Schizosaccharomyces pombe: one gene and its partners. Changing the gene in region 3 together with the main gene of any one other region gives a genetic interaction. Each region holds a gene or a part of one and is shown on either strand. Other genes may lie near its edges. The genes, in order: cdc17, crb2, chk1 and rad3.

Region 1 (7,847 bases), on a different chromosome or scaffold from region 3:
TCTTCCTCGTTCGGTAAAGAAGGGATTTCACGCATGTCCTCAGAAAAAGGAACCTTCTTCTTGGTTTCAGAAGGACGAGTGGTCATTTCCACGATAAAGTCTTTACCCTTATCATCGCTGGACTTAATGGTCGCAAGGGGAATATTGTTGAAATCCATTTGAGCCAGATACGAAATGCAATAGTTAAAGAACTATTATTCTAAAATTTAAAACTTTTACAAAATTAAACGACCGTGCTAATAAAGCACTTGGTAACCAAACAAGAGCTCCAAACTAAATCAGCATACAGTTTGTAAGGACAAGCCACAATAACCAACTTAATCTCAAATTTCAATCAAATAAAACAGTGTATCAACTAATTTAACACGTTTTATGACTTCTTAAAGTATTAAAAATGAAGAAATTGAGATTTGCCCGACTTTATACGCTTTTCGGAGTTGAGGTTCAGTAAATCAACTAAGCCATCGAGGGGTCTATATATATGTTCAAAAGGTGGGGAACAAAGAAACTCAACAAGGGTCCGAAAAAAGCAGCAAATTCGACAGCATGTCGTTATCGTTGTAAGAACGAATAGTACTTCTTCCAACGACTGAATGGCGTTGCGTTTGTTTAAGTTGTCTCTAACAGAAATACGAGATGGTCAACGTATATAGAAACTGGACTTTTTAAGAGTCCTTGGTAGTAGAAAAAAGCTTAATTTGCTATTTAGTGTTTTTTTTCTATCGCTACCTTTTTTTTTTACATTTTAATGCTAGAGGATGAGAAGGTGAAATTGATGTCCTGTTCTTGGAAAATTTTGCTATGAAACTAAAGCAACTACTATCAAAATGATATTGGAATGTTCTTTTTTACCCCAACTTTTGTACCTGCAAGCAGATGCCAAAGCTATAAAAGATTTATTGTTTTCGCATAAAAATTAGGAGGATTACTGTGTCAAATTTTATACAAGCAATCAATCTATCTACAAAGTCATGGGCGCTTTTAATAGCCTTCTCTCTTAAATCAATAGGTAAAATTTGTTTGGAAAGTTCATCTATTAAACTCATTTGAATTAGTCGTACATAAAAGGTAAAACATTAAAATAAAATTTAGATAAGAAAAGGAAGGAAAGAATGTTTACCATTGCATTAATTCGAAAAAGTATTAAAGTAATTGGGTTAGAATAAAATGAGCAAGATCAACATTTTTCCAATATTCAGAGTGAGCATTCATTGCTGAGACATAGCTATAAGAAGTATCTAGTGCACCTTCTTGTAGCATGAAGTCTATACGTCCCGTTTTGTTCAATCGATACATTCGCTCATCAATATGCCAATCCCGAATGTTTTCAGCTCCCTGTGATTCATCGTGAGAATCAGCGGTGGCCTCGTTAAACACAGAAGCATAACTCAATGATTTTAAGATTAGGGTATTAGCAATACCAGATCGAAGGCCAGAAAGAACATTCAGAGCACCACCGGCAATTTTATGCCCTACACCAGAACTTGAAAGGTCTTGATGAGGGCGAAAGTGAGAAATTTTCTGAGGTTTTAAGCGGGCCATTTGCTTAACCACCAATGGCTCTACACGATAACTGATGGGGTCAGTGGGATGAAATATATTATAGAAGTTTTGACAGCTAAGGATCGAGACACCCGAATCGAAACTTTGCTCAGAATAACTTAGACTGCGAGTCAAATTCGTTTTAGGAATAGGACCTGCAATTTTTTTACCATTCAGCATTTGAAATAATCCCAATGGGCTACCTAAGGCGAAAAAGTTTGCAACAGGAAAGTCAAGTTGCAGTTTTGAGTATTTGATATTTCCTTGGTAACGTATAATATCAAATAAAATTAGAGCCCCCAAGGAATGTCCAAGAAGTGAAACATGGCCATTAAATGAGGGGACATTTTTTTTGTACAGATTGTACAGACGATTCAGTCGCTTCACCACTGCTGCCAAAATTTTATCTCGATAATTTGGCTGACAATACAAGAGGACGTCTAGCAAAACATCCGAAATAATGTTTCGCAATCCAGTAACCGTAGGGATATTTATATTATCCAAAGTTGGAATGGAATCGTCTTCCAAATCGTCTAATGCAAGATCTCTAGACATGTTCAATGATTCATCATCATCGTCATCATCGTCCGCAAAAGACGAATCAAGGTCCCTTGCCATGCCAAATCTTATGTCTTGACGCCATAACAGAGGCAGACATTGAACACCGTTTCCACCTCCCTTCAGTTTGGGATACACAGCTTGCAGGTCTGGAGAAGAATTAAAGGTTTTTTTTAAAGTTTTACGAAAGTTACTAATATCCTTTACAAAACTGACAGTTTCCACACGTTCACCCATTTTTTGACCGATGCCATGACAGCACAATATTAGATGATTAACTTCCCGGTCGGGTCTTGACATTAAATGAGAGGCATCAGTCGCGGATGGAAGGTCTATCGTACTTTCGGTATTACTAGGTGTAAAGTTGTCACTTGGATCTGAAGAATCGTTTAAAAGAGTGGTAGAAGTCAATTCCTCAGTAGGGACAGGTGTACTCGGCTTCGAATTCGACTCCAACATATCCAGTTCATAGCCTCGCACCAATTTATCACTTCTGTGAAAGCTAGCAGGAGAAAACCGATTCATAATTTTCACAGAAACGTTACGATAAAAGTCATCATACACCAGTCGGGCATTCCTGCTGCCAGTGTATTGTACGAATCCACCTGTATACCTTCCAAGGAGGGCCCATGTTTTTGATTGTGCAGCAGCAGAGTCTTTTTCATTCGAAAATTCTCGATAGGGACAACTGTTTAAATAACCTTCTTCCACTTGTGTCGCTAGATTTTCCTCACAAGGGTACAGTTTATCCCCACGACTAAAAAACCACGTTCCCCTGAGTATCCGGTAAACGGGACCATCCCAGTATATTGGTGAGAGTTCTCTTGAAACAACGTTCACCGAATACAAATAATCCTCATTCACATTGACCGGTTCAGATTGACCGTCATTTTCTACAGCCTTTAAATAACTTTTTTCGATGTGCTCCGAGTCTTCAGCTGAAAAAGGTAAAAAATTTTTTGCTTTTTTAATTTCCGTCGGTCCCGTTCTTGATTTCCTAAGCGGTCTATCTACCGCATAGAACCAACGTACCCGCAATGAAGGAGCATCTGTCACAGATCTCGATAGCAAATGACGAAATGACAATTTGGGCGGTTGCACATGTTTCAATGGCCATTCTTCTGAATTATTCATAGCAATTAATGGCTTTAAAGCCAATATTGTAATTTCTTCTTGGTGTTTGCTACAGTGACATAAAATGTATATGGACGGTAATGAACACCAAGCATTCGTAATCCACTGTAAGGAGGAATATGACGGCAAAATAGAGTAAGGCTTGGTACGAACGTAAAATGGTAATACAATGTATAAAATCATATAAAAAGGATAATAAAAAGGGATAAATAAGATTCAAATTTTCAATCTAATGTTATAATTTGGAAATTCAATGTTGTTTATTATTAATTTTTTTTTAGCCACAGGGGATTACAATTAGAAAAAAATAAATAGTAGTAAGCTAGAGAAATAGCCATCAGCTAGAGCATAAACTCAATTTGTCTGTCTCTTTAACATAATTCATATTAGCCTCTTTGGGCAAATTTTAGCCGAACATTACCCTTTATTATGACAGTAGCTCTCAGCAGTAACTCTCAGCTACAAACTTAATAATCTTCGGCAGCTGGGGACCCTTCTTTTTCCTTTTGACTGTAAGCCACCTGCGAACGATAGAATTCTGAAACCTGTTCACTTGTTGTAGCATCCTCCCAGCTCTTGTCTTCCCGAATACGAATGAATCTTGGAAAACGTAAACTGATTCCTTTGTCCTCTTGAACATATCCAATTGCAGCTTTGTAAACCGGAGACAAAGATAAATCGGCAGCTAAGACTTCCCACAAGTACTTAGGCTCAAACCAGACGTCAGGCTGATGCGCAGGTACATCGCTATGAGCATAAAAATCTTTCTTTTTAGATATAACAATGTCTTTAAGTTGATTGTAAAAAGTTTCTAAATGCTCCTCTGAAAAACCAGTCCCGAGTTTGCAAATCGATTGAACTGTTTCGGTATCTGGATCGTAGCAGCCCAAAAGAAAGGCACCATAAACAGAAGTACGTTTACCCTTTCCGTAGTATGCGCCAATTACAATCAAATCCAGAGAATCTCCAACACCAGAAAGATAGTCTTTTTTAACTTTTAGCCAATGCCTGGAACGTTTTGACGGTTCATAATGAGAATCCGGGCCTTCAAGCATTTTGACCATTAAACCCTCACAAGAATCTTTGACAGATTCTTCAAGGAATTCTTCAATGGATTCAATAGACTTTTGATCGCTATGTTTAGCAAAAGTAAAGTCTCCAGTACTTGGTTGAAACATTGAGTAAAGTAGTTTTCGACGCTCGTTGAGTGGGGTTTCCAAAAGAGGTTGCCCATTTAGGTATAAAATGTCAAAAGCGAAAAGGCATGCTCGGACCTTAATGTCCCCAATTTTCACATCTTTCCTCTTTCTTGTTGCAAGTTTTTGAAAAGGTAAAATTTTGTTTTCATCACGGTCCCAACCGACAGCTTCGCAATCGAGAATAAAAGAACGAGCATCTGGTTTTTTCCACTTCGATACAGAAACAGAGATGTCCGGATAGCGAACAGACATGTTTTCAGAATTCCTAGAAAATACATAAAACTTCCCATCTTCGGTAAAATGAACTTGGGCGCGCTCGCCATCGTATTTGTATTCACATGTAAATGCGGCTTGATCAAACGTATTCAAAACTTCTGAAATTTGTTTCGTCGGCTTAGCCAGCATGGGTTTTGTTGGGATTCCAGGTGTTAATTTACAAGTTTCACGCAAAGTACCAAGTCCATGCTCAATCAAGTGAGGAACGATAAGGTCGTATGAAGGCAGTTGACAGTAAACATCTCGAAGAATCTGCTCTCCTTCAATCCTGTCTTGTTGCGAAAGTTTTTCTCCATTCTTATCAGCATGATATTGAGCGGTGGCATTTGCTAATGCTACTAAAATGGTTTTTTCGGCAAGTTGGAGGCGTAGCTTGCCTTCCAAAGCTCGAATCAAATATTTAGGTTCTGCACCTTCACAGGAACTCAATAGCCGCTTGATCACTCCAATTTTTCTATTTTGGGATTGGTTTCCGCTCATTTGAGCAATTTTTTTTAATGAGTCAAATAAAAATGGAATTGTCAGCGCTGCAGGTTTAAACATAGTGGGTTGATTTTGACGGGATGTTTGAGCTACAAGACCAAGATCACCAACTTTGTGAAACGATAGTTTAATCTGTTGAAGCGTTTGCCCTGTAGACTCTCCAATAGCCTTCATTATAATGCTTTCGCCAATTCCTAGCTCTAGTCCCGAGTAATCTGGGCCCAACTAATGTAAAAAAAGACGTTAGTACTGAGAAGGAGAAATCCTTTAAAACCAAACGTTCATACCTTATTGATACTTAAATACACACAGGCCAGTAAATCGCTGGGATGGTCGCGAAGAATTCCAAAAAAGTAAGTCCCCATTATATCAATGATTTCCAACCGTTTGCTAGTATTCTCTATTTTTGTGAATGCTTTTACCATTTCAGCAAATGTTGCATGACCTTTTAACTTATCATTGCGAGCATTGGACTCTAACGGTGGTTCTTTGATTGGCAAAGGTATTGGAGTAGATGCCCCAGAATCGTTGTTACTAGATACGGCATCTGAAGAAGAGGAGGATGAACCTAAAGTCTTTTGCTTTTTTGCCTCAGACACAATATTATTTTCACGCTCAACATTTTGAGTTCCAGTGTCGTCGTGGTTGTTGTGTTTCGACTCGTCGACTAATTTCACTGATTCGACCTTTCTCTTTTCGCTTGTGCTTCTCCCATCAACATTTTTGGAATCAGAAGACGATTGAGAAACCTCCACGTGCTCGCTTTTGTGCGAAGCAGAAGAAATGAAGAAGTTGCTATATGGGTTAGTCAACGTCTGTCTTCTATCTAACAAACCTAATGTCTGACTGCCTTGTCGACATCCGTATGTACTGATTGACTTGTTTAAAACGAGGAATTTGCGAAAATACTGTTCGCATAACAATCAAGTCAACGAGTAAAGAATTTCATAAGATTTGACAATAGTGAGGGTACACCTGAAGAACAAGTAACACGTGTACGATATTTGTAGTTTAAGGACAGTGAAAACGAAACCATTTTTTTCTAAGTCTATATAGATGAAATTAATTTTTATGATTATAACAGGATAATATAAAAGCTATTTATCATTGATATAGTATGAGTGTTCCTTGTCTCATTCATAAATACTATTGACTTAATCAACTCTCTCCCAACGCTCTGTACATCATAAATACAGCTAGAAAAAATGAGAAGTTGAATTGTATAGAAATGCTTTAGTCATACCAGAAATGAACAATTGCCTGTATCAACGAACGTAATAGAAACAATTTGGAAATACATTGCTAGAAGTTTATCAACTAGATTCTAACCATTTAAAAAAAAAAGAAATTTAAATCAACAAAAATTAAAATAAATTCCTAATAGGCTTATTCGCTAATGTGTAGTGGTTTGTAGTTTTTTTGCAAAAAGCTGTTCGCACTTGTTTTTCAAGTGGATTTTGTCCTTAAATTTTTAAAATTTTTCTTTTTCAAATTTTTTATGAAATGTTAATTCGAAAGCAAAAACTATCATAAAATTGTTTATAACCATCGCTTTATTTACAAAACTCATAGTCAAATTTCGACAGCCCGGCATTACTAAAAAAACATGTTACCTGTTACAGGTAACATTCAATATAAACATTCAATTTTTGATTTTTGTTCTTTCTCAGAGAATATACCTCTGCTAGCACTTGGAGAAATTTTTTCGGTTCTGAAATCTTTGTTTTCGTTGAAATCTTATTAGAACCAAGTTCTCCATTTTATATAAATTAACACTTCTTGTCTCTAGGTGGATAAAGAAACGGATTGACGATTCTGTTCTGATCCTTAAATCCATATTTTTATTTTTTGGTTCTGTTTATTTTTTCTTGGGTTTGTTGTGTTTGGAAAAAAACTGGTGTTTAAATATATTAAGCATAAACTATTATAAAACTTCATTTTATTATTTTATCATTCATATTTTTTTCAATTTCGTTTTGAAAATTTTTTATTTAAGCCGAATTCTATTAAAAATACTAAAATGTATCAACGATCTTTGTTTCGCGGTGTCGCTCAGGGTTTAAAGCGCTCCTCTGTACGTTTTCAATCTACCAGCTCTGGCTCTTCAAATGGCAATTTCTTTCTCCGTCATTGGAAGCTTTTGAGTGTTATTGGTAGTTTTACTGCCGGCGTTGCCATTTACGACATGTCCGATGTTCGTAGTTTTATCCATGGCCGCATTGAAATGCCTCTCTTTCATGCTTTCACCACTCCTGAGTTTTCTCATCGTGTCGCCATTCTCGCTGCCTCTTGGGGTATAACACCGAAGGATCGTGTAGCTGATGATCCATCTCTTGCCGTTGAAGTTTGGGGTAAGAAATTTTGCAATCCCATTGGTCTAGCTGCTGGTTTCGATAAACAAGCCGATGCTATCTCAGGTTTGTTGAACTTCGGGTTTTCCTATCTTGAAATTGGCTCGGTCACACCTAAACCTCAACCTGGTAATCCTAAACCACGCTATTTCCGCCTTAAGCCTGATTTGTCTGTAATCAATCGTTACGGTTTTAATTCTATCGGCCATGATGCCATCCTTGCTAAGATTCAAAAGCGCGTTCGCAAATACATTGCTAAGACATCTCCTCAACTATTAAAACAGTTTGATGCAAATCCCGCTTC
Region 2 (7,537 bases), on a different chromosome or scaffold from region 3:
TTATGCGAGCTTCAAGATGAGAAAAGTGACATGTCCGTTGAAGAGTTTTGGGATACGCTGACTTATAGACAAGAGTGCTCCTCAGGTAAACTAGTTGGCTTTTTCACATTACAGCTACAGTTCTATCAAACAAGAGAATTTATTGCTAAAGATAATTTTGGTGATTCTGGTGTAATGATTCCAGCTAAATTATACAGAGTCACTTACGATACTTTATTGAAGCATCCATTTGGCTCTTTATCTGATGCACAGTCGTCAACAGAAAAGTTTCTTAGTAACACACTTTCCGCTGTACAAAATTTAAAGGATTTTCATTATAAGCGCTACAAGCTAGATATATGTGGGTTGGCAAAACGTGATGATCGTAAAAATCACAACCATTCGAAACCTGCTACGCAAGCCAATATTCTACAGCCACGAAAAAAAGTGAAAAAATAAAGGACTTTAAGTTCGTTGAAAATTTTTAATAATCCCAATCAATCCTCTCATGTAGATTTTTAGAGAAAGTTTTTGTTTAATATTGAAATTGACACTTTTCGTCAGTATTGCAAATAAATTAATAAACAACAAATATCTAAAATTAATAAAAAGCTAAATTAATGAGAGTGAAACTCAGGGGGAGTTAGTAAAAATAACTATATCAAAAAACCAAAACTAAGTAGAAATATCAGACTGACTAATAAGACATTCGACTATCCATTCAGGATCAACGACCGGACAATTAGTTTCATCTACAATGTTTCCATCCATCGTAAGTATCAAATCACACTCCAAATGTGCAACATTTGGTCTAATTTCAACGTCAGCACCCAATGCCAACGCGTGATAGACATGAGCCAAAGCTTTTTGACCCTGCTCTGTATTTTCAATCTTTTTCTGCCAAGATTTTGCTTCAGGTATAATAAATAAAATCTTTTTTCCAAATAAAGGACCCTTCCTTGCCAAAAGTCTGTCATATAAAGAATCAGTGGTATCAAAAGGTTCTATCCGTTGGGAAAGTGTACAATCTAGACGGTGTGAATAGCCAGATGCCAATAAATAAGGAGAAAAATCAACAACTCTGTTCATTTTTAAGCACTGTTTAATAAATTGAGGATGGACACACGGGATATTAAAAGCTAGAGCTTCTAAATATTTAACCTTTCTAGAAAATGTGTCAGATACAACGAAAGCTTGATTCCACGATTTACTTCGCTTTTGAGGTTTCAAATGGCGTAACTTTTTTTGTTTGCTTTTAAACGGGTCATTAAACAAAGGGCGTAAGCCTGTATCAAGAACTAATCCTCCATGATCCTGAACTACAGTTTCCAATGCACTTCGGTCATAGGCATCCTCATGCACGGGACCGCTGAATGCAAACACGCAATCGTCAAAGATGAGCTGATTACTTTCTGAATCCAAGTTCTTCTTGACAAAGGAAGAATCCCTTTCTTTCAAAGAAGAGCGGTTTCTCTGAGAATCATGTGAAGGAAGAAATGATGTTTCCTCAAACTTCATATCTTTTAAAGTAGAAAAACTGAGGTCTCTTCCTTGAAACCGCCGAATGTTCACAGGAGCAACATAAATAGTAGAAATGGGAACCGTAACCTCAATTTCTCCGTGTGCCAAAATAACCATGTCGTTGTTTAGAGCGTCCACTGCTATAAGGGATAATTGCTCATTAGTAGATCGAAATGTTTTCACAACAGTATGCTTGATTTTTCCTAATCTTGTGGATTGTACAACGTCTCCTTTTTTCAAAAAAAATCTCTTAATTTGATTTGAATTAACCGTGCTCATAGTTGCATCATCAAATTGAACCTTATACATGATGGAACTTGTTACGGCTGAATGTACGGGTGCGACAAGAGTTGCTGGGTAGTAAAAAGAGGGATATCCTTTAAAAAAAGCGAGTACACGGTTTTTAAAAGACCTTCTTGAATTCGGTGATTGGGAAGGTTTTAATGGCTTAATAGAAGCCCTAGTGAATAAACTATCAATTTTAGGAGTATCCAGGCTTAGGCTGTCAGACCTTGAGATAGCTTGATTATTAACCGATTTTCTCAGCCGTTTGTTTACAAAAATTGAGCTCACTTGACTAGACTGATCTATTACAGTCGACGGTGAAGCACTTGTTTCATATGAAGAAATCACATTAAATGGATTAGGAAAGTTTTCATCATTAATGTTTTTAGTTTTTTTTGAAAACTTGGTTTCCGTATTATCAACTTTTTCAGACGAGGGCTCAGTAAAGCTAAATTTTCGTTTATATTGTTTTTCGGATGTCTCTGGTAAAAAAGCAGGAGGAGTGGACTCTACTCGACCATAAAGAACGGGAGACCCTAGAGAAGTCGCCAGTCGAGTAGGTGTAGTCTCTACTTGACCGCTTTCTGTCTCATTTTCCATCTCATCCAAAGTGTAATCGTAAAACTTTGTCCTATGTTGAGCTACGGTTTCAGGTACAAGGACTTCTCCAACGGTTTCTAAGTTTTTCTCATTTTGAGAAACTGACAAAGGTGTATCTTTTAAAGTTGAAAGAGTTGATGGTAATAGAGAAGTAAATGGGGAAAGAATTTGGGAAGAATTAGATACATTCTGAGGAGTCAACAGCTTTTCATGGTCCGATATAACTGATTGACGATCGTATAAGCGTTTTAACACTGTATGTGTCTGCTTGGGTGAATAAGGCGACGATATCACCTTACGAGAATCATGTTGAATAAGTTCATCATCCGAAATGTCCTGGGAACTCTGTTTTGCAAAAGCAGCTTGACTAGGTACTTCAAACAACTGCGTAAGACTTAGCTCCTCAACAGCACCATTGTTATTCACATCCTTAGAATAACTAAACTCCTTATTAGAATTATCATTACTCCTAGGAGGGGAAGGATTAATTGAAGCATTCACTTTTGAATAATTGTTACGAGAAATTGCTGCTTGTGCTCCAAATACACGTTGAGAATTTATGTCAAGGCCAAATCCTTTATGCAAAGAGGTATCATTCACCTCCATAATATTGTTAAACTTTCAAACAAAATATTGAAAACATCTAAAATACCTCACAATTGTCAGAACTACAAATTTAACCAGGGCTTAACCCAAATTTCGATTTATCTGTTGTAAGCTCTGCATAAGTAACACGTTGCACCGTTACTTTATATGAAAGCAGTTAAGAACGTTTAGTTACAACACCAGCTATTTGGCTAATCATATATATATATATATTAATATGGAAATGAAGGGCTCAAGGTAGAAAAACTTATTTTCTAATTTTATTAATAATTGTTTGACCTGATGTACAAACTACAGCATGTTTCCACTTTTATTAATACGTTCGATAGGAGATTTATGTTGTTAGAATCAGTAATGTTGAAGAAGTAATTTTAAATTTGAGTTTTGAACTTTTCATCTTGACTTTTTGAAACAATCATAGAAAATAGATTTTGCTTGTTTAATGATATTTCTAAAAAAAGAATGTCAAATATAGTTTCAGGTTATATTGCTAACATTCATATCTTATTCGTAGTGGAGCCAACATACATTCGAATTCCTAATGAGTGATAACTATCGTTTATATACTTTATTAAAACTTAACAGCTGTCTACGGCCATACCTAGGCGAAAACACCAGTTCCCGTCCGATCACTGCAGTTAAGCGTCTGAGGGCCTCGTTAGTACTATGGTTGGAGACAACATGGGAATCCGGGGTGCTGTAGGCTCCTTCTTTATTATTGCTATTTAATTACTACTATTTTGTTTGAGTTGACTATCCGCATACATTGTTTATATGATTTTTTTTCATGCAAATGAAGACAAGCAGATAGACGTTATAAAGCGATTATGATTGTAATGAGCAAGTCTAAATTTGCTCAAGAGAAAGAATGTAACAAGCCATAGCTCAAAAAAGCAATTACATTTACTACGCTTTATTTTTTTAACAATATATATTACTAAATGTAACGGATGACACCGAGGTCGGGTAGCGTAGTTGGTTATTGCGCACGACTGTTAATCGTGAGGTCGAGGGTTCGAGTCCCTCCCTGACCGTTTTATGACCACTTTTTTGGCTGTTTACAAAAGTAAAATCGTTAGATTTGAAATTCAATGATATTGCGCAAAAATTGAATGTGACTACACGTCAATACTTTAACCATTTACAGTTGGCTACTTTCTAGCTTTAGTAAATCATTTCAATACTGTTCAACTTTCTAACTTATTAAGAATAGATGTTGGTATTATGTATTTGACATTACATATCCTACATTTTACCAACTGTTTTGGAAATAAAACATATTTTGTAAAACAACAATAATCAATATAAAGCATAAATAATAATGAAGTATGAAGTAGAGATACTTCGGGAGTGCAACTTCTCATTTTTAGTCGTCCTAATGTAATTCATCCTTGGCGCTCGCAGTTCATATTCATGAACATACATTGCATTTATAAATCTTAAGTGTTTAGGAAAGATAAGCATTGTATGCAAGAAAAATAAAGATTGCCTATTTCCTAAAACAAATATTTCATATATGAGAAAAAATGAAACTGTACCAATAAACATTCTGTAAAGAGCATTTTGAGCGAGCAACATTGTATTGTGTACTCCAACTTACTCTTACTCATTTTGGTAAGAGGACAAATCCTACCATGAAAGCATTTTAATTCCTCCATATTTATTTAAAAAAAAAAAAAAGAACGCCAGTAATGCTCAATTTAAAAACTTTTAATACGAATCGTCAGTGAATTATAAAGAAACGATTCAACGGATAATATTTTAAATAGAAATTTTTGATATACGACGAATTACTTAATCGAAGACATTACTCAGAACCATTATTCCTGCTCACGAAGCGAGCAATTGCTTTAAGAAATTGCAGAGCACCTCCCTCATTAGGATTGGCAGATTCGTCGAGTGAGAGACCAAGTGCTGAAATAATGTTTACACCACCAGGAGAATTTAAAGCTTGAGAAAAGCTTCTCAAAGCTTGAGCATATTGAGGACTACTAACAATAGCCAAAACCCCCTCCAAATTATTTGGGGTATCAGGAGGCATGTAAGGCATGAGTCGATCAATAACACCTTCTTGGCATAAAAGATCGGTTAAATTCGAAGGTTTGAGGATTTCGCAAAGATCGACTGTACTACCTCCAAATCCAGCCTGAGCAGAAATTGTAGCCAATAGATTCCTCACAGCTTCCGATGAATTAATTTCATCGCTGTTCGGGGCTCCAATCTCGGAGCTCTCTTTTGAAGATTCAGTTGGTTGAGCAATAGGTTCCGATTGCTCAACAGTATCCACTTCCATCATATCAGAAACCGTTGCAACATCAGAGCGGGCCGGATCTAATAAATCTTGATCCTTAATGTAGCTGTTAATTCTTTCAGCGTAAGAAGTATCGTTATCGTCTGAGGCTTCTTGCATCCAGTAAAATAGGCTATGAGCGCTAGAAGGATATTTGAGCATGTAAGCTCTCCCAGTGGTACATTCCGTAACTTTTTCAAATGTACACTCAGAAGAAAATACAATTATATCCTAAACTTGGTTAGTATCGACTAGAACTTTTAATGTGTTACAGGTGGTATTGAAAGTGATACTTACATCCTCGGGATTTTCAAGATCATTCCTTTTTGCCCATTGAAAATGAATTAATCCATAGGCGTCCCGATTCATGACTATATAACTGTGATTTGTTAGCTATCATACATAATATGCGAGCATACCCTTTTTCTGGGTCAGCACGTAAAAGCTTTGTTCCTGGAACTCTGCGAAGCTTTCCTGCTTTGAAAGTTATCAACGACATTATCCCAATCGCAAACTGCTTAAACTGCGAAATGCAAAAGACAGGTTGTATGTACTGTGTCGAAACCACGAAGCTCTAGCTTTCGTTGTAGTTCGTTGCGTTGTTTAACAATAACGTTTGATTACACTGCAAAAATCCTATCCTTGAAACAAACATAGCTTAATTTGGGTAGTATGATAGCTTCGAGGAAAAATAAATATAACTTATAAAATAAAATAATCAAATATTTAATAATGTTATGTAAATGATACCTTACTACGTTTGTGAGAAAGCGTAAATACAGCATATTTAGATTCTGAATTATCTTTGGCTGTCAATTAAGTAGTTATATTTCAGATCCTACGATTGCAATTGAGCGTTGAATTCGCTATTTATATTAGGTGAATTCTTAGTCAATACGATATTTAAAGGAAAAATATGTTAATTCCTATAACCCTTTAAGCCCTGAATCATAATGAAGTTGGTTCTTTAGGAATACCAAAAATTACTTGAACAGACAAATACTACATTAGCAATCCTTTCAACGTCCGTAAATGATAAACAATATGATTTCATTTAATTATACTAAATTGTAACTGGAAATGTTAGCATTGTCTTGTAACAAATCGGCTTTAGAAGAGTTCAATTGAATTACTGAAACAAGTCATTCAGCTAAGCTCTAAATTTCAACAATTCTTTTTTTAGAAGCTGAGGGTAGCGATAAGGACAGTAATAAAAAGTGCTTGGCAAAAAGCAACGCCAATTTTCGATGAACCGCTTTCAGAGGAGCTAGTCATGCCAGATGTATAACTAGTTGTACTAGTAACATTAGATGGTTTGTTTTTTGGCTTGGGACGTCGAGAGGTAGATTCATCATCGTCACCATCGTGAAAAGGAGACCACATATTCGTTGGACCTTCAATTCCCAAAGGTTCGCCAGCACCTTTTTCCATGTAAATTTTTGCACCTTCCGGCATTTCAGGTAATTTTTCCCATGCGTTAAATTGAGTAGAATTAGCAGGGCATTTACTTGGCGATCCGGCCTTTTTATAACCACCATCCCCTTTTGGATTTGGAGTTTTGGCATATTGCTTCATCAACGTTATAAAATTTCTCGACACTCTACGCTCGTCATCTTTGTCAATAACGACTAATCCATAATGATTAGGTTCGGCTGAATATTCGTAGACCAGACCACCAGAGAAAACTGGGGTCATATCGTGTGAATATATTGCTTCAATCTCCGTAAAAGGTCGGTTAGGAGTCGTATCGTCGTTTATTTCAACAGTATTGCAACCAAATTCTGACAAGAATAGCGGAATTGAATAGTTACTAAATTCCTTGATGCGATCATAATAACCTGAAACAGTCATACTTGAGTATCCACACCATTCATACATATTGAAAGCATAAAAATCTGCTCGTTCGCTCTCATCTCCACAATTAAAATAATGAGCTAGCTGTAAACGGTTTTCTGCTACATCGGCAGCAGAATAACCAACTGGAATATGCCGATCACTATGTTTCTTAATGTATGCCTTCACATCTCTAGTAACCGCTTTAACCCATGTAATAGCGGTAGTGTCTTCGTCATTTACTACTTCGTTGCCGGAGAAGAATCCTAGTACATTATCGTATCCTTTGAATGCGTCTATAGTAGCAAATAAATGTTGCAGATAAACTTTGTTGTAAGATAGAGCAGGATGAGCACGAGATATTGAATGCCTATAGGTGTTCAAATCCAAGATCACATAAATGCCTGCTTCACTTAACGCATT
Region 3 (9,936 bases):
ACCTGCGCGCGGAGACCGCAACAGATTTCTAGTCTGTCCCTTTAACCACTCAGGCATAGTGTCCTTTGTAAATTCAAAGTTATACATGAAGTAATAGGGTATAATAACTTAGTCATATATGCATATTACTTAAACTGATAAGGTACCACATTATGTATATTTCCTCTGCTTGACCAGCTTTTGTGTATTCCCACATGTGAGATTTTATGACAATCTATTCTTACACTAACGAGCAATTTCTTTTTAGATAAGCTTAGTGTAGCAGTTGATATTTTGGAAATTGCGTGTTAACGAAAGGCGGCTTTAAAGTGATTTATTAACTGTTTGATAGCGTCATTATCAAAAAAATTATGCATCTTCGTTGATTTGGACTAACAATAAATGTTTCCAGAAAAAAGAAGTTTTATACTATAGCTTTTAGTAAAATGGCTTTTCTTACATTTAAGCTATTTTGCAGATTTCAAATTATTATCATTTTTAAAATATTGAACTTTAATCATTAAATCAACGATGAAGCAAAGTTTGCAAACAGAGTCCAATTGAGGAAAATTAACATGTCGTGAACTAATTTACAGTAAATTCTATAAATTCCTCAAGATATTTTGGATTCGCCAAATAGTAATGAAGAAGCTAAAACACATGTTAGTAGTGTTGTATCGGGCAGTTTGGTTAATTCGAACAAAAATCTATGGTAAGTGGTCTAGCTTTTTAATTAACGAGGTAGCGTAAAGCATTTGTGAAGGTTGCGAAATCTGTGGCTCTTCATTACTCAATTAGCCAGTTATTAAACTACGCTTATACCAGATATAATAAGAGTTAGGCTAACATCTGGTCGTGTGGTTTAGATGGTTATAATTTCTGCTTAACATTTACAGTTCGCAGACGGTCCCAAGTTCGAGTCTTGGCACGATCAATCGTTTTTTAGTTTTTAATTTTTTTACTTTTAAAAAAGAAATTATATCTGCTTTATTAATTAACGATTCTTTTGGAATGAAATCATTTTTACTTTTTTAAATAAAATGAGATCAGCAATTTTGGTTGGATTAAATTTTTTTTTTTATTTACTTGTTCCATTGTAGTTCTCATTTTTTTCAAAAGTGTAATTACTAATTATCTGTTGTTTGTAATTAATTATTTTCGCATCGGATTTAAATAAAAAAAAAAAAGAAGAGGGAAACTGTAAAAATAATTATCTTAAGAAATATTAAGTGCTGAAAAATATACAAACAAAAACTGAATAAAAAATTTAGTTAGTTAATGTTACTAATGAAGCTAGTTTGAAGTATTTTTGAGTATTTGGACTAAAAAGAAAGATAGTTAATAATTAATTTAAAACAATAGAAAAAACAAATAAAAAAACGGAGGAAAACTCAACAGTAGTAAAGGCGTAACAATTATTTGCAGTGGTAGTAAATATATATATATATACATATATGTATGTATGTTGTATTTGTATGTATGTTATATTTGTATACTATGATAAGCGTGGGTAGTATCAAAGTGCGTTGGAAAAGAATAATAGCAAATAGTAAAGGAAGTAATAATCGACTAACATAGAGTAAAAATCAACCATGGGCATGTGGTGTAGATGGTTATCACGCTTCCTTAGCATGGAAGAGGTCCCAGATTCGAGTTCTGGCTTGTCCAAAATTTTTAATAAATAATGTGTTGGTCACGCAATATGAAACTGGAAATTTGATATTCGTACTAACATACGAACGAAAATAAAACACTTTCTATTTTCTGAAATTTTTACTTCAGAAAGATATTTTCGGGGGTATTCATGAATCAATAACTTTTGACAACATAAATACAATATAATTCGATCACTAAAAAATAACTTCTGTTTATTTACAGTTGCTAGTATTCCACTCTTTTTCGTTTGTTTATTTACACATTATTTTCCTTTAACTCAGAATTGCGTTAAATGATTCTTTTCGAATGTATAATTGCAGCAATGTTGATTTGTTTATTATTTTTGTTTACAACATTATACTTGGTTGTCTTTAGTAAATCTTGCCTCCTTATTGGTTACAAGTCAAACATCCATTGTAAATAGTGAGTAATTGGTGTTGTTTATTTAGGCTTAGTTCAAAGGCTTAGCTAAGGATATTATTACTATTCAGTTAATCTAAATCCTTTGTTATTTGAGCTATTTATCCAGGATGCAAATGGTTAGCGAAAGCTTTTATTTTTAAATGATCATCTTTTAGTAATATTAAATGTTTACTTAACACTTTTTTAAGCAAATGTTAGGTGAGCATCAAATTATCATTCGATGTTTGTTTATTGTGAGGGATTTCATAAATTATTAGTTATGATAAAACAATGTGTTAATATAAACGAAATGAATTGTTTTTTAATATAAATAACCCAAGGTTGAACATGTTTTACCCAACCTTTGTATACACTTCAAGAGATTGAACACGATCTCTAATTACTGAGTTATCCAACTGGCAATCACTCAAGCCTCAAAAGAGCCAAGTAACTTCGTAATGAACAGTAAAATTGCTTATCCAGAGATTAAAATATCAGGTGCCTTTCGTCCTGATAAAATACAGGAAAAGGGAAAAAGTAACCGATGTGATACTCACTGCTCTGGTAGCTCTTGGACAAGTTTTAAATCAAAGATCCTAAAAATTTGCGCTCCTCTCTGCTGTATGGGTTCTGATAACGATGAAAGCATGGCAGAAATGCCATTAGAACCCCAAGTTGAGCCAAAATCAATAGAGAACAATTATACTTTAAAAAAAAAAAATGAAGAAGGCTTCTTAAGTCAACAGGAAAATAAGTCTTCAAACCAAAATCCTTCAAAGGCTAATAACCTTTTCGACAAGCTCGGCGTAAGCAAGCCAATAACATTCATAGCTTGTATACTGCAATTGGGCGGCACCTCTTTTATGGAATCAGAACTCCAGACGAAACTTTCAACTATTAATAGCTCGCCGTTTAAAAGTTTATCCCAATACTGGAATGCTGCATACAATAAAAAGGAATCAATATCATCTTCAACGAATAGTAACATCAAATTACATTTGGCAGCTCGTAAATACCAAACAAAACCTGAAAAATTTAACGAAAATTCTTCCATTAGTCAGGTTACATCCGCAATAAAAGCAACAAAGGCATTTTCGCATTTAACTCAACCGAAGAGGGCACTATTGAAAGAAAGCAATACGGGAGATAAAGATATATTTAAGCCTCGGTATCCACAGCTTCTAAGCTGTAGATTTACAACCTTGAGCAAATTGGCGCCAATTAATAATTCCAAATCAGCACCTAAAGGTACCCACAAACCGAACCACTCAGAAAATGCTGAATTAAAAGATATAAAACAGAGCTCTGAGCTTTCTGACTTATCACTATCTTCACAGATTTTATATCCCGAATCCACGACTTTAAGTGAAATATCGCCGATATATGATTCTGAATTAGCAATTGAAAATATACTCGAATCTAAGTGCTTTGAAAATGAACAAGCCATAATAGAAGGAGTAAAAGATTTTACCGAATTTCCCGACCTAGAAGAAACACAGATTATATATTCCGACCTCATCGCTTCCAGTGAAGTATCGCCAATATATGATTCTGAATTGAAATATGAAAGTGTACTCGAATCCAAAAGCTCTAGAAACGAACAGGCTACAATAAAAGAAAAAAAAGATAATGAAAGGGTCCTCGACTTGTCACAGCAATGCACAAAGTTTCTTTTCAGTGACCAAAAGGTTATTACCCCAAGCTTTTGCAAATTTGCCCAAGTATCAGACATGTGCTCTACTGAAATTCCTTGGGTAAACTTCTTTTGTGATAACCTAGATATATGTATCGAAGATGTTCAATTCAAGAGTAAAGCCTTTTTTCCACCTACAGTAACTATTACCATCTTTGAGCACGAAGATAAAAACTTGATGAATGTCTTCGATACTAAAAATGGAACATCAAAAACATTAGTGAAACCTCAAATAACTAATAGCTGCCTTGAAAATATGCTATCACTTGTAAACAAGAACAGCTGTATTAAAAGGCTTCACTTAAAGTTGTCTAAAGGGATAATGGACATCAAGGTATTAACTCATCAGCTAATGCTATATGATCTTTATCCTCCTGCTCACCAAACATATCTATGGAAAGCATTAGAACGACTAGTGAATGAAAAGGTGAGTTTAGGAGAACTAACACCTGTTCACAAAGTAGCAGCCGAAAAGAGAATAGGAGACATCCGGATGCATTTAATTGAATCTTCGGATATATACGTTGTTACTGAAAATCATCGCTGGCTACATATCGTGTGTGAGGGCTTTAACTGTTTCTTAGAGCTTCCCGAAGTACTTCACGGAAAGAAGTTTTTAAAAGTAGATGAGGCTACAAGAGAAGACATGTTAATGTCTGCAGAGACTCCAGACGATATTTTATGGATAACTACATTGATAAGTACTGGTTCATCGATGTCACATTTTCCTTTGCATGCTTACCTGGAAGCCAAAGAGAGACAAGAATTCACAAAAAAGAACCTTTTACTATTTTGTAAAGAAGATGAGTTTTTATACTCCGACCAAGAAAATGAAGACCTTTTAGAATCGTTTGAAAGAGTTATTTCAGAAGAGTTATCCCTTTTAAAATCAAATGAGCCGTCAGATATCTCACTAAAAAAGAGAAAAAGAAGAAAGAATTGTGAGAAAAGAATATTGGGTACAATGATGTATTAAACGGCATGGCCAGTCGGAAGAACTATCCTTATGCTAATAATATATCTTCAGCATTCGCAACCATTGATATTTGCTTGACAAAGCGTTAATAATCCTATTCCCTAGGATATCATTTGTACTACCACAAAATTGAAAATAAATTCACAACGAAGTCAAACAACAGGTTTCTTTTACAAACGAACTGGCACGACCTTTCAAAAGATGTGCAATTAATTTTGTGAAACATCTGTAAGAACAATCGGCTTCCCTATTGAACTGACAACGTTCTTTCACATGGATTAGTATATGAAATCCCTATGATAAAGACATACTTTAAAAAATTTTCTCCATTCAAGAGGATCCCCATTACGCTTTATAAAGTTTATAAGCTCTAAGTTATGGCCTAAATTAGTTAGTTCAATAACACCTTGCAAGAGACATTTCCGTTTATCATGTAAATTAACATAAAGGATGGTCTGATTTCGAACATATTTCATAGTCACTGAGATTGCAAGTAGTCGTAGACTGTCATAAAGATGATCTATAATGGTTTCTCTCGACGCCCTAGAATAAAACCTAGTGAGTCTTTCAGGAGGACAAATTTCGTAGAAATTCTTAGCCTTTTTGGCCTTTTTCATATAGTTAGAAAAAATTTAGGTTTAAATAAATAATACCAATCTTTTAATAAAACCTTCATTCTCACAAAACTGACTCAATGAGGGGTCTTTTTCAAGGATTTCAGTAACGTCAATATTTTTATTAAGTTGTACTGGCTGGGATAAGGCGCCATAAACTTCTACACGATCCAACTCCTTTTGGTCATTTTTTTTAAAAGCTGGCTGTGTCATTGAAAAACCGCTATCGCTAATTGAAAGAGTTAGAAATATGAAACAACTGTGCAAGATCTTACTTTTGAGATGCTCTAGATGAGGCAAGACGTGGTTTATCTAAATCAATACGAAGTTTCAACATGAGCCTTGATGCCAATGCTACAGGATCGGCACAATTCCCATTTTTAGTTCGAAATGGTGTACTTGAGGTAAGCCATGGGTGCTGTACAACATGTTTGACAGAGTAGCGCTTAAATGGATCACTTCGAAGCATTCCGGTGATAATCGCTGATCATTAGTTTAAAGGAATTTCAGTCAGGACTTACAATAGGCTCCTGGAGACAACAAGTTCCATGGGTGGTAAGACGGGCGTTCACATTGTTTTTTATAAAGCAAGTAGTCACCAGTGTTGCTAATTGCTTCATCCCAAGGTGTGTTGCCTAATAACAAAGCAAAAAGAATTATACCGCAGGACCAGACATCAACTTTTGAACCATCATACTGCTGTGTAATTTCTGGAGCAGCGTATGGTGGACTACCCACTGGACTATTCAAAAGCCTACTTTTACCTTTATAGGAAAATAAAGATGCAAAGCCGAAGTCTGAAATCTTTAAGTTACCATTGTAATCTAAAAGGATGTTCTCAGGTTTCAAGTCTCGATGCGCGACACCTTTAGAGTGCATGAAGGAAATACCTTCCATAAGTTGAGCAAAATAAAACTGAGCGACGTCCTCATCAATACCTACATCAGGCTCTAAATTGTAAGTCCGTTAGTAAAAACGAAAGGTTCATGCACCCACCTATTTTGTCAAATAAGTCACCACCTTGAGCAAATTCAAGTACTACCCATCTCCATTGGGGATTTTCTGCTGTATTATAAAAATGAATGATATTTTTATGTCCATTGCATAGTTTGTGAAGTTGTATTTCACTAGCCATCCTTCTAGCCCATACCCCTGCATTCATACAACTAGTAGCATGTTTTTTATTGACAAATTTGACAGCATATATTTTAGCATTATCATCGTAACATAAACGGACGCTTGCTTAAGTTAGTATATAGTATTTTTCAAATCAAAATTCATACGAAGCAAAAGCCCCAGTACCTATTTCTCTACCAATATGGTAAGGAAAGTTATCTAATTTTTGAGCCATTCTTTGGTGTAAAGGGAAAGAAGATTATAATATAACACAAGCATATGTTGCAAATTTTGGCATGTGTATTATTTACAGTCTTAACATCATCAAAGACTGGAAAAGATTAAATTAAGGTAATTTTTAAATGAGTTTTAAATCTATATAATGATATAAAATTGGACTATAATTTGATATCCGGTTTTCGTTTACTTGTGTACATTAGCACATGTTGTGTTGTGTTTATAACTTACTCTCCTACCACCACGTACTCATTGAGAAACTACAGTAACAACTTGAGGAATGGATTCTGATATGCAAAACCAGAACCCTCATACTAATTCTAAAAACTCTTCTTCTGCTGGCATGGCTGTTGACGGTCATAGCGTTACAAAACGGTAAAAAATAAACAGTTTTTAGGAAAAAAGTCTCTAATGCATTTGTAGATTGAGAAGCGAATTAATGAGTTTAATGGTTTGTAATAAGCTTTTTTACTTTGTTATTAACTAGGGTTTTATGACTAGATGTCCAATACTCCTGGAATTAGTGCGTTTCCAGATTCTGATTCTAACCTGCTACATTGGGCTGGCACAATTACCGGCCCAAGCGATACGGTATGACTTTTATTTTGAAAGCTTAATATTTAAAGTATATGAATAATGCTTGGTGTGCTTACTTGTAGCTGCACTTTAATGGAAAATTAATACACATCTTTGTCATTACATTTTCATAACTGTCTACTCTTCTTTCTTCTTTTTCATACGACTAACGTAACGAAAATAGTACTATGAAGGATTGAAATTTAAAATTTCAATGTCATTTCCAGCTAATTACCCATATTCCCCTCCAACTATCATTTTTACTTCACCAATGTGGCACCCCAATGTCGATATGAGTGGAAACATATGTTTAGACATTTTAAAAGATAAATGGTCAGCAGTCTATAACGTACAGACAATTTTGTTATCTCTACAAAGTCTGCTGGGTGAGCCAAACAATGCTTCTCCCTTGAATGCTCAGTATGTTGAAAATATCTCATTTACCTTTTTTGATTATTAACAATTCTTAGAGCTGCAGAATTGTGGAGTAAAGACCCTATCGAGTACAAACGTCTTTTAATGCAGAGATATAAAGAAATCGATGAAATTTAGTTAGGCCGGTCTATTTCATACTCATTTTCATTTCTGTTTAGTCATATGGATTTTCTTTTCCTATTCAATGCTTGAAAAAATGTCTTTAGTTAAACTTTCTTCATTGATAATGGAAGTTGAAATTATTTCATCTCATCGATTAAGCAATTCCTTCATGCAATGCCACAACCTCCTGAAAACCACCGAATGGTTTTTTAAGGACCGTCTATCATTATTTAGTTCCAGAAGTTGAAGTTGTTATTATGATGCTCGATTAAAGCTATTCTTGTTTAATGCATTCCGTTAATGCAGTCGTTTTTTTAGCTTTCCGTTAGATTATAATACTATTTTATTATTATTGATTCTCAATGTCATTGTGTTATGTATTATCGCAAGACAAGTATCAATGTTATGTTGTGCCTGAATTTTTTTCTGATTAGTAATAGGACTGTATATACAGCCTAATATTTGTATTTCTAATTTTGAGCCTTTAATCCTTATGAAGCCGTATAGTGAAGTATCTTTTCAGTCTCAGAGCATTTTATAGAGTTGCTGAAATTTACACGTCATTTAAAAATTTAAGAGTTTTACCAATTATTATTACAAAAGATTTGTATTTAATTACAAAAGAAAAACTGATTAGAAAATTGAACATTTAAACTGATAGCTGAATAAGCTACTAAAACTGGCTGTTTATATGCTACCAAGAGCATACCTGCGAATGACTAGTACACCAAAGAATCTTGAAAAACAGCCGATTAACTTCGACAATCTCCCCTTGTATTTACAAGGAACCAATTACGGAGAAAATGTGCTTAGAAGTGACCCACGATGGCTGAAATGGGAGAAGTATTTACGAGAGTTTGACATGACAAGGGAGGGCAATGTAACAAATACGCCGAAAGCCATTCCATCTTCATGGAATCCCAACGATAAGTCAGATTCATTAGAATTGATGAATAACAACATGGGGGTTTATTTCTTTGGTTCGTTGTATTAATTATAATGGTTTATAACTAATCTTTAATAGGTCCTGAAGCCGGCACTGAACATGATGCGGCGTCTGTAAAAGCTGATCATGCAATTCCATCAAACACTTCTATCTACTATTATGAAATTCAAATTTTATCTCGAGGAAAAGAGGGAAAAATGGGTGTTGGATTTTGTCGGAAGAGCATGCAAACTAATAGGCTTCCAGGTTGTACAGCAGAAAGCTGGGGATACCACGGAAACAGTGGTGAGAAATTTAATTGCTCTAAAACGGGTGAAGCTTATGGACCTGAATTTACCACTGGTGACATTATAGGCTGTGGAGTTAATTTTATCAACAGGACAATTTTCTACACCAAAAATGGTGCCTATTTGGGTGTAGCATTTAAGAAAGTCAGCGACGTTTTGTACCCTGTTATCGGATTGAAAAGTCATGGTGAACATGTTGAGGTTAATTTCGGACAGAACCCATTTCTTTACGACATTGATTATGCTATTCAAATGGAGAAAAACAAATTATTTGAACAGGCAACTAAGTCACCAAAGCAGGAAGAGTTAAAACAGCGTCAAGAATTTCTAAACGAGCTGATTTCATCGTTTCTGCTCAATAATGGATTTGTTGAAACCGCCAAGAAGTTTTGCCCAGAGAACACCGAAGTCTCTGACGCAAGTATTAGAAAAGGTATATTTTCGCTTTTTACTGAACAATATGACATTGACACTTATTAGAAATTAGTTCTATGCTTGCTAATGGCCAGCTCGACCTTGCTATGACAAAAATCGACTGTCAATATCCAGTTGCTATCCAGGAATGCCCTGACCTTATTATGTCTTTAAGATTTTTACGTTTCCTTCAACTAGTGAAAGTGACTCATGATCAGCGGCTTACCAAAAGTAAAGGCACCAAGCAAATCTCTCAAGAAGAAGATTTACGTATACTCCAACCTTTAATGAATTATGCTCAAGAACTTTCTAATGATTATGAGCATACAAAGAGCAGCAACTTGCAGGCGATGATTAAATTAAGCATGGGATTGCTTGCATATTTTGACCCATTTTCAAGCCCATTATCGTTTTTTATGAGTAGCGACTTTCATAAATATATGGCAGAACAAATCAATTGCTTATTACTGGGTAAGTTAATCTCAAGACATGAAGTGATACAT
Region 4 (7,562 bases), on a different chromosome or scaffold from region 3:
GCGATTGCATAAAATCTAGAATAAACTTCAAACTTTCTTCTCCGTTTTCAAAGTTATCAAGAACAACTGTTTCTTTAATAATATGTTGAGCCTTGGCGCGGCTGGGATCTATCGCACCCAATTCACCAAGATTTTTTGCAGCAAGATATGATATTTGCATATTTGTTGAAGCATATTTTACACAACAATCTAAAAGGCATCTTAGTAATTGGTCCAGAACTTCGTTGGATATGTCCAAATTTAGTGTGTCATGTAACTCGTCCACCTTGGCTTGAAAAAAAAGTTCTAATTTTTGTAAACCTAAATAACAAACTGGCTCATTTTCGTTAGTTAAACACTTAATTATACTTTGAAGCTCAGAGTAAAAATCTTCATTTTGAAGCGAACAGAATATTTCTTTAGCCTTAAGGCTAAAGCACGCTGAATCCAGACTGGTGGGGATAGCCCACTTTAATCCTTGTAGGCACTTGTGTGTGTCAGAAGAAATAAAATCAAATATTTGAATTACTAGCTCTGCTTCTTGTGGTTCTAAATAAGGGAATAAAGGAGGTAAAATTACAAGACTTAAACCAGCAATTGAACTATACTCGGGCTCCTTGGTTGCTAATATCAAACTGAACCAAGCTTTGATTGCATAAAACCTTAAGTGCTCATTTTGAAAAGCACTTTGTAAATTAGAAAGTATCTGTGGTAATCCAAGTTTGACTGCACCTCCACATAAAGATAACATTTTTTCAATGCCGACAATTGTCTTAATCTTTTCATTAATTGAAGTCTTTCCTTTCAGGTCGTTAAGGATATTAGAAAATTCTGCTAAGATACCCAAAATGTGATTATTAAAAAAATCATAAAGTAATTCCTTATTGCTCAAGTCTTCGTCATTAACCACTTGAGAGACAATCATTGCTACCTTTCTTAAAGCATTTTCAATTTTTTCATGAGGAACATCATTCTGATAAAGCTGTAACAACTCCACAGTAATAGAAATAGGATCAGAGCGTAACAAAGACGTTAAATCAACTTTTTCAAAATCAGAAGTGGCCAGTGAAAGAAGAAGCATCACACTCTCTTCCAAATTAGGATGATCCGTAGTAAGTAGCGAAGCAAGGATTTTATGCATATTGGTAAGGCACAAAGTAGCAACATCACTTTGTGAAAGTTCAGCTATACGTACTATTAACGCTTTGTTTTTAGTAAGTACAAGGAATGGTAAAGTGTACGCCTGTGTTCGAATAAGAAAATCGCCCTCGGAAATATTCATAAGCTGAGCAAATAAACTGGCTATGTTCGGTTTTTTACCCATACCTTGGACAATCGCAACGGACACTGTTGGCCAATATGGAGAAAGTAATTGCCAAACGGATATATGACGCGTCGAGGCAATTTGTTGCAGAGCGCTGAGACCAATGCCTTGATAAAATATTCCGCTGTTTATCACAGAAGATATAACTTCCAATAGTACAAAATGTAATTCTTCTTCTTCTACCACTCTAGATAAGGAGATCCAGGAAAGAATGACCGTTTCTAAAATAGCTGTATTTTCCACCGCCAATATTTTCAACGTATTAAAAATCAAGGCTTTACTTTCCTTGTGAAATTCAACTATATCAAGATTATTAGGTCCCTTAATGAAAATGGGCAAAACTTTTGCAGCAACAACACGTAAACATCTTGAAGTACTGGCTAATGCTTTCATAATAAATTCTCTTAAACTTAACATTGATTCTTTATTAAAGTTTGAGCAATGCTGGCTCCACCGAAAAAAGCCATCAAGCAACAATGATTGTTTAACAGAAGAGGAAATTATGTCGGGATTTTTTAGCAATGCACAAAACAATTCGTGATAAGGAATTTTAAAGAGCGACCGCTCATCAAATAGTAAACAAAATGAGTTACAAACTTCACAACCATGTACTTCATATGTGCGGAAAATACTATTTGTTTTCTCATTCACCTTTGCAACATGAGTACACAAAACTAAAGAGAAGTTCTTCAGGTCGTCCTCACTTATTGTAACATTATGAGAGCTATAATAATCTAACATTTCACGAAAGTGCTTTAAATTAGACGGTTCATCTAAGTTGTTGTTTATACACCATTTTGCAAATGTACATATGTTATGACCATTCTGGAAATCCACTTTAAGAATATTTGACAAGTCATTGTCCAAGGAAAGATAATGTAAAAGAAAAAGGTTTAATTCAGAGTTAGAAAACAACGTGTTTTCAAGTTTACCAGTACAAATTTCGCCAAAAGCACGGAGAGTTGTTTGATCTATTTCTGAACTTTGGTATCTGCACTTAAATAATATTATTGCCTTTTTGAGATCAGAATCTGGTTCAAGTTGCTCTAATACCTTGAAGTCAGAAAGTAAGGAAACCCCAAAAGGATAGAATAGACCAGCTACAGTTTTGGGTAAAACAAATAAAGAGAGAAAAAAAAGAGATATAGCAGTATTAGCAACTGTATAAGTTTTCTTCAATGATCCCAATGTTAAGTTGATGGAGGACATTAAAATATGTTTAGATTTTTCACAAATGGGAAGGCCATGATATATAAAATTCAAGGAAAAACAGCATAAAGTTTGGACTATACGTGAATGCAAATGTAGAAAGAGCTGTGAGTCTCCGATGCTGATTCGTTTTAATAAAATAACAAAATTAAAAAAACATGGCTTGATCCAAGTCCACGCTGTAAAGAGAGGTGGACTAGGAAAATTGGATTTCTTTAAATATGAGCATTGTGCAAAAAAATGGGCACTTTCAAAGAAAAATGTACAAGCCTCCTCTATATTAATGATAAGTAAATCAAATTTGTCCTCTCGATGGGTTGGATAATTTGGGGTGATACTCTGCAATGGTTGAGAATTGGGTGAGGGCATCTTGTAAGGGAATGTAGCATTAGTGATTTGGAGAACTATAGAAGAAACGTTTGTAATATAATATTTCCAATAACGCATAAACGAAGCATATAAGTCCCATAGGAATGACTTTTCACTGATTAGCTGATAAATTAGCTTATGAAACTCTTTTAATGAGTCAAATAACTTAATAAAACGAATATCAGCAAACAATGATATAGTCCTGGGTAAAATCCAATCCAAAAGAGTAACAGATGATTTAATCTCCCGCAAAACTGTCGGAGACCTTTTTAAGATTAGCATTAACGCTTGTAGAGAGAGATGGGCTTCTTTTAGCATCTTAGGAGAGATAAATTCAGATTTTGAATCATCATGTTTAAAAGCTAGAAGACCAACTTCAATTAAAACTTCAACAAGCTCGGAGGTCATAGATGGTAAAGAATTACTTCTACCTAACTCATGTTCTTTGTCTAATGCTAATACTTCTTTCAAAAGCTGTCCGAAAGCCTGTCTGTCATCTAAGCCTCTGGGTGAAAGATCGAGTGACCCAGCTTTCCTTTTTGCGTGTTGGCTCATACTATATCAAACCATTGATTCAATTCAAAAAAAGGCCTTTTTAAAACGCAACACGCGCGTTCAAAGTCTTGAGCATTTATAAAAGACGATTGTAAGTAATAAAATATCTCAATAGAATTATGCGAAAAGTGGCAATCGATTATCAAATCGATTTCCACTCACGAGGTAAAGGAAGATGCATGGTGCACTAAGTATCGAGCGATGCTAATTAACGAGCTTTTGTGATACTGAATTTTCAGAGGAAACTAACTTTTAAGTAATATTAGGCTGGATGTTTCTGATAATGATTGAATTTTTTGACTTTTGATGTGATTATAATGGTCAATAAACAAAAAAAAAAGTTATTGTTGAAAGGTAGTAGGAGAGAAAATAAGCTATTTTACGGCTAATAAAAGAAGAAATGAGTTTTAATTCAATTATTTCTTAAATAAATAATAAGAAAATATTGAAAAGATAAGTTATAATCGCACATCCTAGTTCTCATTGACTATAGCGTCAGTGGAGCGTCATACGCAGGGCATTGGTTCACTAGATCGCGGATTCTTCTGTGTTTTATACTTACTAAGCAGTTTTTACTTGGTACCTACCTATTCACATAAATAGTGGTCAAAAAGTCGTTTACTTACTTGAAAATTTTTGTAGTGCCAGTTGTGGTACATATCGTCTTGTGTTTTCATGAAAAAAGTGATTACTACACACTTTTCAATCTGTGGAAATACGAAGTTTACGAATCTTTTGAAACGTGCATATAACGTCTCCTACCCTGTCCAAAACGTCAAAAATAATACAAAGATGGGATTTCCATTGGAAAAAAGCGAAGATGAATGGAAAAAGGAGCTAGGTCCTGAGAAGTATCGAATTATGAGACAAAAGGGTACTGAGCACCCAGGTGCAGGACGATTCACTCATCAGTTCCCTAAACAGGGCGTTTTTGTTTGCGCTGCATGTAAAGAGCTTCTTTATAAAGCTAGCACAAAGTTTGAAAGCCATTGTGGATGGCCTGCGTTTTTCGATAATTTACCTGGAAAGGTGAAACGCATTGAAGACAACTCTTATGGAATGCATCGTGTAGAAGCAGTTTGTGCCAACTGTGGTGGTCATTTAGGCCATATTTTTAAAGGAGAAGGTTATTCTAATCCTACTGACGAACGCCATTGTATAAATTCGGCGAGTTTGGAATTCCATAATGAGGCAACAAATGACAATTGAACTAGATTATGCTTAATATTTCTGTATTTTCTTTATTAGATGTTAGCACCAGTTCGAATTGTTTGTGCTTGATGTACGGCTATTATTTTATTTAAAGTTGCTTGTTCACGTTTTGGTTAACTTCAATAAAATGCATTTACTTTTAACATTTTAAACTAATATATTTTGTTTTCAAAGAGTGTAGTAATCTCTAGGTCAGAAATTAGATTTACTAGCCGTATGTTATAACTAAGCTGCTTATGCCAAAGTTAATAAACGATAACACAATGTTTACACTACCTGATATGATCTTCCATTTATTTCAACTATAAAGGGTATAACTAAAGTATCCCTCACTTAAATATTTATTAATTTGCGTACGCTTCATAGGTCATTGAAAAATTTTCGTTCTTTTTTCAGAAGATTTTAAGAAAGGAGTAAAAGATGCGTGGACTACAATAATACGCGAAGGATCCGAAAATGTCATTACATTATACTGAATAAGTATAGGATGATTCTCCTTTTACGACGAATCCAGCAATGGCTTTATATATTGGCACATTTCCATCCGTCATGTCAACCACCAAATGGATGGACTGATTATCAAGAGCGAACAGTAGTACAGTACGCGCGACGTTTTCACGAGACATCATACAATTTATGGATATCTTACCCAATGCAACTTTTCCAGAACCCTTCTCGTCTGTCATACCAGAAGGACGTAAAATCGTCCAATCAATATCACTAGAGCGTCGCACTAATTCCTGATCCGCTAGGTACTTGTAATGGTAATAAGTTCCAATTGACTGATGTATTTTCTCACTTAGCTCTATATCAGCAGCCGTATAGTAAGGAGGAGGAGGTTGGCTCATATCACGATTATCTATCGCAGATATCATAATTAAGCGTCGAATACCAGCTATCCTCATAGCATCATAAACTTTTATAGCACCTTCATAATCGACGGCTCTTGTTCGTTCAGGGCCGCCTTTACCTCCTGCACCGGCTGCAAATATAACAACATCAGGGTGTATTTCAGCTAAAAACTGAGCAATATCATTAGGCGTCGCCTTCTCAAGTGAACAGACAGAAGTTCTGCCATGCACTTTTTCAATGTCTTCATTCTGAACATAATCACGTACAACATTGTAAACTATATGGCCAGCTTCTGTAGCAATTTTAGTAAAAAGCAAGGCCACCTTTCCATGCCCTCCAAAAACAACAAAAACAGTCATTTCTTACAAAATAAAAATGCTGACGATGATTTCTTTAACCGTTGGGAATCAAGAATCCAATATATCCTTCTCCCTTATTGAAAAAGGAACTTAATTAGCTGATCCTTTGAATAAAAGCAATGGCAATTGTTAAAATGAGTAATTTTTAGAATTGGAAATGCTGTGTATCTGTCAAACCCCTCTTAAAAAAAGAAAGGAATAAGGAAAATGAAAACAATCTACAAAATTGAATCGAAGAGACACACCACAGGGAATGAGCAAAAGCACGGTTTACCTAATTAGTAGTACCGAGTTAATTATGTGACGTTTTCAGTTTTTGTATGGTAAGCTCTAATAGTTTTAACATGATGTAACGATGCAGTAAAATAACTAGCCAGATATATTGTGCTCTTTTTAACTTTCGCTAAAAGTTCTTGGGGTAATACACGGAAAGTGCATCTGGGCACTAAAATCATTTAACAGGTTGCTTATTATTCATTCAGTAATTGAAAGTCGCCCAGATTTGTTATGTTTACCAGTAATAGCAATGTTTAATTCTTTGCACATAAAACTCCGTCAAGGTTAAGTCTGAATCTTCTTTTGCTTATACGGGATAATTTGTTTTGATAAAACTAACATTATCGATGTTACCTTTAAACGTTAGTCGTCTTTTGTTTGCTATTTAAATGTCTCGTATGATAAATTGATTGATTAAAAATGAATTGTATAGAAAGAGCAATTTTTTCGACAAAATAGGAAAGTATATCATCCTCATTAGTGCATGTCGAATTGCAATAAAGCTTGATCGTATAAACCTCATTTACAAAACTGATTAAGACATTTGATTCTTAGTTGTTTACAGTGGTTTAATATCTTTCTATTTGATGCCGCTTAATAAAAACAATTGGTATAACTTTAAAAGTTGTTAGGGAATATTGAAACAGTTTACTTTAAAACTTATAAGCAATGACTGAAACATGCTTAAATGCCGGGCTTAGTATCAAAGATAGCCTTATGATTTATTTGTTTGATAGCTTGAACCCAGATATTGTGAATTTTCTTGCTTTTCGCTTTTAAGACGATGGGCTTATCAGTTGTCTGCATCACAATAACTTCATTATGTAAATTGGCGTTCTTTAAGGCATCTGGGGCTTTTATAATAGTCATTCCCTTAATTTTCACAGACTTGACTTGATTTTTCCTTCCTTTTTCAATAAATGGATTTGTTTTAGACCAGCACAGCATTTCACAATGCGGGTTAATCCAAAAATAGCGCCAATGACTCTTTTTAAACATTTTGAAACTCTCACTTCTCGGGTACTTCATCATTTCGTTTCCCATCATGACATGTTTCATCAATTTGTTCACAGAATTTGCATTACAAGTTGAAGAAGATAAACCTGATAGATTCAAATTATCTCTGCATTTTTTCGTATTTGTTTTGCTTTTGAGATTATTGCGAGGTAAGGTGAATACGTCTGACACCGTCGACAAGGAAATAGAAATCGTCGTAGCCGTACTTCTTGCTTTCAATTGACGTGCTGATTGCGAGGAATCATGCCGAGTTTTTTCAACTTCAGCTGTTGGATAAGTACGAGTATTCTTAGGTGCAGACGGATAAGTTGACGCCTCCCAATTATTATGTTTTGTAAAGTCTTTGAAAAGCATTGAGGAAGTTCCGTTTGAATGTCTTGAAGACATATTAATGTCCAAAGTAACATCAG

Evidence for each region.
Region 1: mutations in chk1 (region 3) and cdc17 are lethal when combined (synthetic lethality), as found in Schizosaccharomyces pombe (6 studies listed by BioGRID, with this or other methods).
Region 2: of chk1 (region 3) and crb2, a mutation in one rescues a mutant of the other (synthetic rescue), as found in Schizosaccharomyces pombe (4 studies listed by BioGRID, with this or other methods).
Region 4: of chk1 (region 3) and rad3, a mutation in one rescues a mutant of the other (synthetic rescue), as found in Schizosaccharomyces pombe (3 studies listed by BioGRID, with this or other methods).

The regions. Positions count from the first base shown.
Region 1 is NC_003424.3:1,386,207-1,394,053, reverse strand, and holds cdc17 (ATP-dependent DNA replication ligase Cdc17), read right to left. Parts: upstream 6,170-7,847; 5' UTR 6,111-6,169; coding exon 6,028-6,110; exon of another isoform or gene 5,988-6,027; coding exon 5,480-5,987; exon of another isoform or gene 5,418-5,479; coding exon 3,702-5,417; 3' UTR 3,437-3,701; downstream 1-3,436. Other genes in the region: itr2 (plasma membrane myo-inositol transmembrane transporter), read right to left, coding at 1-158; SPOM_SPAC20G8.02 (DDHD family phospholipase), read right to left, coding at 1,144-3,417; mitochondrial dihydroorotate dehydrogenase Ura3, read left to right, coding at 7,213-7,847. UniProt on the Schizosaccharomyces pombe protein: DNA ligase that seals nicks in double-stranded DNA during DNA replication, DNA recombination and DNA repair.
Region 2 is NC_003423.3:4,206,541-4,214,077, reverse strand, and holds crb2 (DNA repair protein), read right to left. Parts: upstream 3,112-7,537; 5' UTR 2,992-3,111; coding exon 655-2,991; 3' UTR 501-654; downstream 1-500. Other genes in the region: histone lysine acetyltransferase Rtt109, read left to right, coding at 1-438; proteasome regulatory subunit rpn1301, read right to left, coding at 4,799-5,512, 5,579-5,660, 5,701-5,780; 1,3-beta-glucanosyltransferase Gas4, read right to left, coding at 6,461-7,537. UniProt on the Schizosaccharomyces pombe protein: Essential for cell cycle arrest at the G1 and G2 stages following DNA damage by X-, and UV-irradiation, or inactivation of DNA ligase. Plays a role in the response to DNA damage.
Region 3 is NC_003421.2:1,056,755-1,066,690, reverse strand, and holds chk1 (protein kinase Chk1), read right to left. Parts: upstream 6,896-9,936; 5' UTR 6,672-6,895; coding exon 6,604-6,671; intron 6,559-6,603; coding exon 6,317-6,558; exon of another isoform or gene 6,271-6,316; coding exon 5,842-6,270; exon of another isoform or gene 5,804-5,841; coding exon 5,596-5,803; exon of another isoform or gene 5,550-5,595; coding exon 5,360-5,549; intron 5,315-5,359; coding exon 5,018-5,314; exon of another isoform or gene 4,973-5,017; coding exon 4,916-4,972; 3' UTR 4,707-4,915; coding exon of another isoform or gene 2,496-4,706; 3' UTR 2,248-2,495; downstream 1-2,247. Other genes in the region: protein Meu27, read left to right, coding at 2,496-4,706; ubiquitin-conjugating enzyme E2-C Ubc11, read left to right, coding at 6,954-7,048, 7,097-7,124, 7,175-7,264, 7,434-7,669, 7,720-7,801; gid1 (putative Ran GTPase binding protein), read left to right, coding at 8,502-8,766, 8,811-9,452, 9,500-9,904.
Region 4 is NC_003423.3:900,239-907,800, reverse strand, and holds the start of rad3 (ATR checkpoint kinase Rad3), read right to left. Parts: upstream 3,618-7,562; 5' UTR 3,437-3,617; coding exon 1-3,436. Other genes in the region: peptide-methionine (R)-S-oxide reductase Mxr2, read left to right, coding at 4,229-4,645; SPOM_SPBC216.03 (uncharacterized protein), read right to left, coding at 5,116-5,859; dynein-anchoring factor Num1, read right to left, coding at 6,820-7,562. UniProt on the Schizosaccharomyces pombe protein: Serine/threonine kinase which activates checkpoint signaling upon genotoxic stresses. Involved in G2 arrest following DNA damage where it phosphorylates chk1.